Linked DNA regions of Mus musculus. The main gene of each other region encodes a partner of the protein of the gene in region 2 in a complex. Links are inferred from orthologs where the notes say so. Each region holds a gene or a part of one and is shown on either strand. Other genes may lie near its edges.

What was found. Proteins that work in one complex are often made in the same cells at the same time.
Region 1: Snrpd2 (region 2) and Gemin4 share a complex: the UniProt entries of both Homo sapiens proteins name them as parts of the SMN-Sm complex. The link is inferred for Mus musculus from reciprocal best matches to the Homo sapiens genes SNRPD2 and GEMIN4.

Annotation. Positions count from the first base shown.
Region 1 is NC_000077.6:76,211,376-76,215,176, reverse strand, and holds part of Gemin4 (gem-associated protein 4), read left to right. Parts: intron 1-466; exon of another isoform or gene 467-921; intron 922-1,233; exon of another isoform or gene 1,234-1,253; coding exon 1,254-3,801. UniProt on the Homo sapiens protein: The SMN complex catalyzes the assembly of small nuclear ribonucleoproteins (snRNPs), the building blocks of the spliceosome, and thereby plays an important role in the splicing of cellular pre-mRNAs.
Region 2 is NC_000073.6:19,147,466-19,153,067, reverse strand, and holds Snrpd2 (small nuclear ribonucleoprotein Sm D2), read right to left. Parts: upstream 3,231-5,602; 5' UTR 3,176-3,230; coding exon 3,174-3,175; intron 1,851-3,173; coding exon 1,671-1,850; intron 593-1,670; coding exon 418-592; 3' UTR 342-417; downstream 1-341. Other genes in the region: Qpctl (glutaminyl-peptide cyclotransferase-like protein), read left to right, coding at 3,883-4,092, 4,549-4,692. UniProt on the Homo sapiens protein: Plays a role in pre-mRNA splicing as a core component of the spliceosomal U1, U2, U4 and U5 small nuclear ribonucleoproteins (snRNPs), the building blocks of the spliceosome.

The sequences.
Region 1 (3,801 bases), on a different chromosome or scaffold from region 2:
CCTGTAAGGCACAGAATGTTGAAACTTGTTGAAGCAGGAGTGTGCTTAGAAAGAAGGAAGGCAGGGCTCCGGATACAGCTCAGTGGTAGAGTGCTTGCCTGTTACATGCAAGGCTCTGAGTTCAAAAACAGGCTTAACTGAGTGTGGTGGCACAGGCTTTTGATCTCAGCACTCAGGATGTAGAGGCAGACAGATCTGAGTTCAAAGCTATCCAGTTCATAATGAGACCCTGTCTCAGAAACAACCAAAAACACTAAGACAATAAGCACCTCCCATCCCCCAAAGACTACCTATTGTATCTTCCATAGTCTGCCATCACTGGACTCAGTTTTGTTTAGGTTTTTTGTTTGTTTGTTTTTTAATTACATTCTTGGTGTGTATGTGTGGATACCACGGTGCACAAGTGTCAGTCAGAAGACAGCTTGTAGAGGTTACCATATCAGTTCTAGGGCTCAAACTCAGGTCATCAAGCTTGGTGGCAGATATCTTTAATCATGAGCCATGCTGCTGGCCTCTGTCATGTCTTTAATGCATATGTGGTAGCACTGTCCCCTATCCTCTACTCACTGTAACCTCAGCAGTCCAGTTGTCCTCTTCACACTTTGCTGAGGAATCTTAGTCACTTCCTTGATTTTCATGCACTTCTCCGAGTTGGTACTGCCTACACTCACATCAGGCCTTTTCTCCTTCACGCATTGCCATTGCTGAAGGACATCACTAAATGTTCTACCTCAGACTCTAGGTAACAGCACTGAACTTGTCTTCCCTTAAAGCTTGTCCTGAGGGGCCACGAGCGATGACTCTGTAGTTAAGAGCACATATGTTTCTTGTAGAAGTCCAGAGTTTAGTTCTCAGCAACCACACCAGTAGGCTCAGTCCAGCTCCAGAGGACCCAGCATCCTCTTCTGGCCTCTGTGGAAGCTGCATTCATATGCACAAACCCCCACAGATACAAACACATTATTAAAATAGAATTTTGTAAACACTTGAAAGCCTGTTCTGAATCCCTCTCTGCCTCCTATTTCCAGAGGTGCCATTGTCCTGATATCCAGGCCAAAGATCTTAGAAACTGGTTTTTTGTTCCTCGGCCAAGACCTTTTGACCCCAGCCCTTTGTGAGCTCTTACTAACCATGCCTTCCCCTCCCATTGATGTCAAGACCGTAGCCGAAATGATAGCCATCCGATGGCTGTTTCCTTCTCCTAGCTTCTCGCTAATCTGATGACTTCATTACCTCTTGGCTTCTCTGTGCAGGACCCTTGAATATCTGTGAGGAGATGACTATTCTGCATGGGGGCTTCTTGATGGCTGAGCAGCTGTTCCACCCCAAAGCCCTGGTACAGTTGACCAAGTCTGATTGGGAACACGTGGGACAGCCCATTGTGGAGGCCTTGAAGGAGATCTCCTCAGCCACAGCACATTCCCAGCCCTTTGCCTGGAAGAAGAAAGCACTGATCATCATCTGGACCAAGGTTCTTCAGCCCTCCCCTGTCAGCCCTTCTGACACTGATACTCGGTGGCAGGAAGATGTATTCTTCTCCGTGGGCAACATGATCCCTACCATCAACCACACAGTCCTTTTTGAGCTGCTCAAGTCTCTGGAAGCTTCTGGACTCTTCATTCAGCTGCTAATGGCCTTGCCTACCACCATTGGCCGCTCAGAACTACAGAGCTTCCTGGAGCACATGACTGTTGACACATCTTCCAAGGATGTGGCCTTCTTCTTAGATGTCTGGTGGGAAATGATGAAGCACAAGGGCGACCAGCAGGACCCCTTGCTTTCCCAGTTCAGGACGATGGCCCATAAATACTTGCCATCCTCAGATGAGTTTTCCCATCCTCCAAAGAGGTTTAAGTCTGACCCAGATGTGGGTCCCACCATGCCTCTTTTGGCCATGTTGCTTAACGGGCTGAAGCAGATCCAAAAGAGAATCCTGTCCCTTGGAATGAAGTGCTGTGCCTTAGCTAACTTGGCTGACATGCTGAGTGTGTTTGCACTTCTGGAGGATGACACCCAGGAGGTGTCGGCCACCGTGTACCTAGACAAACTAGCTACAGTGATCTCTGTGTGGAACTCGGACACCCAGAACCCATACCATCGACAGGCCCTGGCAGACAAGGTAAAGGAGGCAGAGCGAGATGTGAGTCTCACCTCACTGGCCAAACTCCCCAGCGAGACTGTTTTCATGGGGTTTGAGCTTATGTACAACCTGCTGCAAGAGTGGGGTGCAGAACTGCAGGACATGCTCAACAGCAGTCAGGGAACAAATTATGACACTTACCGGCTGTGTGACAGCCTGACTTCCTTCAGCCAGAACTTGGAGCTCTACCTGGATACTACCAACATGCCCAAGGAGGAGAGGGAGGTGGTCTCAGAATTGGCTGAGTGTGTCAGGGACTTCCTGAGGAAAACCAGCAGAATGCTGAATGACAAGGGCCTTGAGGACATCACTGCCTCCATTGCCATGGCCATCATTGAGCAGAAGATGGACCGGCACATGGAAATGTGCTACATTTTTGCTTCTGAGAAGAAGTGGGCCTTTTCAGACGAGTGGGTTGCCTGCCTGGTTAACAACAGGTCTCTCTTCAGAGAACCAGACTTGGTCTTGAGTCTGCTAGAAACAGTGATGGAAGTCATCAGCTCTGATCGGGTTATCCCCCAGCCTCAGATCAAGCAGGTAATCTGCTTGACCCTGGAATGCTATGAAGACCTCTCTCTTCCAGACAAAAATAAAGTTCTTTCTGGTGTCCTGCATTATTTGGGGCCAAAGGGTCTCTCAGACAGGTTGTCTGATTACTTGGAGGGTTTTCAGGAAGACCTCAACACGACGTTTAACCAGCTCGCACAGAGTACCTCTGAACAGGGCCTGGCTAAAGCTGTGGCCTCCGTGGCCCACCTGGTGATCCTGAACCCAGAAGTTGTGGTGAAGAAGATGTGTAGCCTAGCTGTGACCAATCTTGGCACACATAGGTTCTTGGCTCAGATTCTCACTGCCTTCCCTGCTCTGAAGTTCACGGAAGAACAAGGGGCAAATCCATGTACCAGTTTCATGGTGTCTTGCCTCAAAGAAACTGTCTGGACCAAGTTCTCCACACCCAAAGAAGAGAAGCAGTTTCTGGAGCTGGTAAGCTGCCTGACGAATCCTGTGAAGCCACAGGGGATTCCAGTGGCTGCTCTTCTGGAGCCAGATGAGGTGCTCAAGGAGTTTGTCCTGCCTTTCTTGATGTTGGACATGGAGGAGGTGGGCCTGAGTCTGAAGCTCTTCATCCAGACCCTCGAAGCCAATGCAGGCCTGGAAGAGTATTGGCTGCAGACCTGCTCCCCATTCCCTCTGCTCTTCAGCCTGTGCCAGCTCCTGGACAGCTTCAGCAAGTTCTGGCAGCTCCCCCGGGAGAAGCGCTACCTCACGCTGGACAGCAAGGATCTTGTGACCCACATTCTGGAACTCCTCTGTGAGATCGTGCTAGCCAACACAGAAACCTTCTCCCCAGACACCTGGGCCAAGTCCCTGTCCTGGCTCCACCGCAAATTAGACCAGCTAGATTGGACTGTGGGCCTGAGACTAAAGAACTTCTTTGAAGGCCACTTCAAGTGTGAGGTGCCAGCTACCCTTTTTGATATCTGTAAGCTCTCTGAGGCCCAGTGGACCTCACAGGTCCACGAAGGGTATGGGCCTGGCACGGGCCTTCTCGCCTGGATGGAGTGCTGTTCAGTCTCCAGCAGTATCTCTGACCAGATGCTTTCCCTTCTGGTGATGGATGTGGGCAATCCTGAGGAGGTCAGACTGTTTAGCAAGGGCTT
Region 2 (5,602 bases):
AAACACCCATACATGTTTTATATACATGTAAAGAGGGCAGAGACTCCTGACCTCCAGCCCATGATCGCCTGGGAGGACACAGACAGAGATACCAGATAGACAGAGTTGTGGGTAGAGCAGAAGGCCCTGGGTCCTCCACGAGCCTCTTAAATAGGCTTCCCTTTCCCACTTGCACATTGTCAGAGAATCCCTCTGTCCACAATACACAAAAGTCCAATTAAACTGTCTCCTTTGCAGACAGGGCTGTTATATACCGCAGCACCCACAGGCCCTGTCCTAGTGCTCAGCCCAACACACTCTTTTAAGACCCAAGAGCAGAGAAGACCACTGGAAAACATAAAAACCAAAAAGCACAGGGTTTTATTTCTCGCCCACTGGGCAGGGTTCTGCAGGCCTTCGCAGGGCAGGGAGCAGGCTCTACTTGCCAGCGATGAGTGGGTTCCGCAGCACCACGATGACCGAGTCCCCGCGCAGGAACATCTTGGAGATGTAGCGGTCCTTGTTGACAGGCTTGGATTTCTTCTTGCCCTTGCCGCTCTTGGGAACCTCAGTCCACATCTCCTTCACATTTTCCAGCACCATGTTGCAGTGCCTGATGGGGTAGGGGTGGGGGGGGAAGCTGGAGTAAGGGGGGGCATTCCGAGTGCCCACCTTTGCCTGGCACTGTGTGAACTCTCCAGCAGCAGGCATAAGGAAAGCCCAGGCTCCACAGTGGGGATGGGCAGGCTGCAAAGTGATTTCACTTTATAGTGTCCCTTCTGTGCCTCAGTTTCCCCCTTCATGAAATGGAGACAGTCTATTTCATAGGGCTGGTGTGAAGATTGGATGAATAAAGAACTCAGGACCCAGCAGAGTAAAGCCCACCAAAATGGCCCTGGCTCTGGCGTTAACTCTAACTCTGAGAGAAACAGCAGGAGAGAAGCACTTGCTCCCTCCAGAGGGTCTTAGGGTGCTGGGGTTAGACACGGCTCCCAACACGCGCACTCCAGTGCTGCACAGTCCTGTCCTCATGGGGCCGGGTGGCCATTGTTCACACTTGGATCAGTTCTTTCCACAAATGCTTGCTTGAGGACAGTGAATAAGAGCAAAGTACAGTGCCAGATGTGTATGGCTAAGTCACAAGGCAAGTCCCATGCTAACTAAAACAATAAAGCAGGACGGCATGCTTCATGCAATCCTGTAATCCCAGCGCTCGGGAGATGGGAGCAGGAGGATTAGAAGTGTAAGGTTAGCCTCTGCCACATCTGTAGCCAGTTCGAGCTACATAGTAAAGACCCTGTCTCAAAACAAACTACAAAGCAATACAAGATATTTGACACTGATGTCTGGTCTACAGATAAACAAATCAAATATCGAAATTCCAGTCCAATTTCCTGCCAGGGGATTCTGATAACTACTAGACATGTCCATAGCATACAGACTCATATGCAGACAAAACACCTAAACACGTAAGATATGTATTATAAAAAGGTTAAGCATCGCCACTTTCTACATTTTTGAGCTAGGTCGTGCCATGAGACACTGGCTGGCCTCCAACTCATAGTGATTCCCCGAGTGCTGAGATTAAAGGTGCTTTGTCACCGTGTGTGCCCACCTTATTATCCTTCTGGAATGACCTTTCCTTCAGGCCCCTCGGACCCAGACCCAGCCCTCCCCAAGACAGCACTCACCTGTCAAAGGCCTTCACCCGGCCCAGCAGCTTCTTGTTGTTGCGACAGTTAATGAGCACTTGCGTGTTGTTCTTGACCGACTGCGTGAGCACTGAGAGGGGACCTGTGTTGAATTCCTCCTCCTCCCGCTTCTGCAGCTCCTCTGGGGTCATCTCACTCTTGGGTTTATTGAGGAGACTCCTGGATAGAGAACCCAGGGGTGAGATGGGTTCAAGTTGGAAATGTACGTGATCAAAGCCACACTGTCCAGTGTCTCCCCAGCCCCCTTTCTGGTGCAGTCTTTTCTGGAGGCAGGAGAGACATTTCCATGGTAGCCTGCCCCGGCTCATCTACCTAACCTCTTCCACCCACCGCTGACCTTGAATTCTCAATTCTCCTGACTCCACTGCCTAAGGTCTGAGATGACAGAGGCTCACCATCATGCCTGGCAGTTGATTCTTCTTTCAAACCTTACTCTATCCTTATATCTTGTCATCTGCCACCATGGTACATCCAAACCTTGGCCCTTTCTATCCGCAACCTAAACTTCAATCATCTCTCTCCATGAACCTCCGCCCCACCCCACAACATCTCACTGTAGAAGCCTGGCTGCCCCAGAACTCAGACTTGTCTCTGCCTCCTGAGTATTGGGAGTACAGGCACGTGCCACTATGTCTAGTTTGTGTGTGGTTAAGGACCAAACCCAGTACCCACAGTAGGTAAGTACTCTGTCCACTGAGCTAAATCTGCATCCCAAGAACTGGGCTTTCAATGCATCCTACTGTGCTACCTACTGGCATTATATCTTTCCTGCTCAATTCTCCATCCAAACCTGATTATCTAAGGTGTATGTACCTATTTATTACTCTATGGCTTTCCTACTCCACTCTTTTTACAAGCACCAGGGAGATTCCCCCACCCCCTTGGAGGCAAGGACCTTTTATTTACCATGTGTCTTAACTTACAAGCAGTCTACATAGTATATGCTCAATGAATAAACACGCACCAAACCACTGTAGTACCCTGCTACTCTGACAGTCTCTAGTTAGGTTCTCTAATTTATCCTGGTTACGTCCCATACTTTTCACTATTTCTAACAGTTCTTCCTTCCCCGCCAAGCTCTTTATTCATAAGACCACTTCCATTTAAAATTACTATTACTTTTGGAAGCGGTCTCGCTATGAAGCTGGCCAAGGCCAACTAGCGAACCTCCTGCATCAGCCTCTCGAGGCCTGGGATTCCAGGCATGTGCCATCAGACTCAGCTTTCCCTTTATGGTTCCTTTCCACAAGACTCAGGACCTCGGAGAGTCTCATGCCCGTTATGGAATAAAGCTGTCCCCTCTCCGGAACTCAAGATCCGAGCGAGGCCCCAAGCCCGATCTCAAATACCCCAGAAGGAAAAACATTACTTTTGCCCGAGGAACTCTACCCTCAGCTATAAAAACACCCCATTTCGACCGTTATTCAGCTAAACTGTCCACCTCCATCTCCACGGCCCCGCCAAAGCCCAGCCCGGCCTCACATGGTGTAGGTTTCGCTCGCAGATCACTCCCGCCTCCAAGCGCGTTGCTCCAGCCTTTGGCGTACAGGGCGAGAAGGGCGGGACTTCCGTCTCCTGCGGCTCACTTCCGTCGGCGCCTGCGCAACCAAATACCAGCGGCTGTGGGCGTGGCCTGTTACCATAGCGACCCTTCAGGCTGCACTCTCCTGTAGAAAATGCCTATAAGGAGGATTTGAAGCTTCTGAGGATCACAATAGGGTGTCTGCTCATGAGGAAAATAATACGGGGTCTGACTAGAATTATTTTCCCGTCAAACCGTCCAGTTGGAAGATGGAAAACACAACCCCATTTCCAAATACCCTCGGACACTTTTCTTGAGGGCATGGCTTCAGGTAAACCAATCGGCTCCTTGTTTTAGGGATGGATGCCGCCCCTTTTTTCCTTGAACGACAGTTTCTTGATCGACTTCCGTGAGGGGCGTGACCCCGCGCCTTGGAAGGTTTCGCACATTCGGACGCAGCCCATTGACTGGTCCTCTTCCGTGGAGGCGGGCCTTAAGGTTTCCGCCCTCCTTTTTGGGTGGGGCGGCGCTTAGGACAGCCAATCGCAATCGTCTCAGGGAAGGACGCAGTTACTCTGCTTCTTTATTGGGTTTTGTAACCTCAGCGAGGCGGATCTTGGCCTAAAACTCAAACCACCATACCGGGATTGGTTTCAGAGCAAAGCTACCATGAGTCCCGGGAGCCGCGGGCGGCCCCGGCAGCGGCTCGAGGATCGTGGCCTCATGAAACCACCCTCACTTTCCAAGCGCCGTCTTCTGCCGCGAGTGCAGTTCCTGCCCCTGCTGCTGCTGGCGCTGGCTATGGGCTTGGCTTTCTATATCGTCTGGAACAGCTGGCACCCTGGGGTTGAGGAGATGTCACGGAGCCGGGATCTGCGGGTGAGCCCTGGCTGGTGCCCAGCCAGCGTCATTTCCCTCTTTCCCTTCGTATTGAGTCTCAGGTTACCGTGGTCTTATCATTTGGCTTTTGCCGCCTGTGCCATTTATCCATGACTTGAGCGCGTGCCCCTACCCAACAAAATAAGGCTTCAGGCTTGTTTTGTGATAGACCCCACTGAAGATGACGAGTCCTCATAGCAACACTGGTAGAACTGAGTTCTATGCCCAAGCCATCTATTTAGAAATTTCCATCACCCGATTGCAATTTCCTCGTTAGGACTGCGGTAGGCTGGACCAGATTTGCTTTGAAGATTTCTCCCAGTCTAGGAAATCTTTGATGCTGGAGATTTGCATTACCAGGAAGAGCCAGGACTCCTAGTAGGCAACGGCGCCCAGGATAAGGTGGGAATGGGGTTGTTTTCATTTTTCTTTTTCCCATCCCATTTCCCAACCAAGGTCCCGCTGATCGGAAGCCTTTCAGAAGCCAAGCTGCGGCTGGTGGTAGGGCAGCTGGATCCGCAGCGTCTCTGGGGAACTTTCCTGCGTCCCTTATTGATTGTGCGACCCCCGGGTAGTTCTGGCAATCTCCAAGTGAGAAAGGTAAAGGGTTTTATTGTCAACCCCCAACTTCCTTTCCCCAGTTTGTCAGGAAATGGAACTCAGGCTCCGAAGATCCCAAAACAGCCAGGAGGCAGAAGTGATCTGATGGGGGTCGGGGGACAGAGATGGGGAGTAGGCGGGTAGGGGAGTGGTGGTGGTGGTGGCTGCAGCGGCAGGTGAACCTGACTAGATTCTCTTGGTGGTACACAAATCCCGCACTATACGACCCCCACTAAATATTATCCTATATTAGGCAGAAGCAGTGTACTCTCTGGTGAGGTCTGAACTAATATAATCTCCACTATACAGATGAGGAAACTGAAGTTTTTACATTTTGTCCAAGTCCCACAGCTAATTAGAATTAAAATCCAAGAAGGTTGGCTTCAGAATTAGTGGTGTGGTGCCATTCAGATACTGTGTTTAGGATCCACTTTAGTTGGACTAACTTCTTAACCTCTTTGGGACTCAGCTTCCTCATCTTCAAAATGGGGACAGTCACTGATATCGTTGATTTCATAGGGATCCTAAAACAGGCTTGGCAGATAGTGAGAACGTTTTAAGAGGAACTTAGAGCATGTCCCCACATGCTTAGAATCATGCAATGTGAGGATGGGGGTGTGGCTCAATGGTAGAAAGTTTGCCGAGTATTCACCAGTGGGGGCTGTGGCTGTGGCTGTAAAAGCATCATTCAGGAAACCCGGGACCGACCCTCAGCACCATGGAGAGAGACAGGAAGAGGGAAAGGGTGGATGTGAGTTCCTTGAAAGCTGGCCTACATGTGATTTTGGAAGCATCAACATGAGGGGAGAGAGGGAGAGAGAAGCGGGGGAAGAGAGAGGGAGAGGGGGAGAAAAAGAGAAGGTGGGGAGAGAAACTCACTCCCCACACCTGGGTGTAGTGGTGGTCTGGG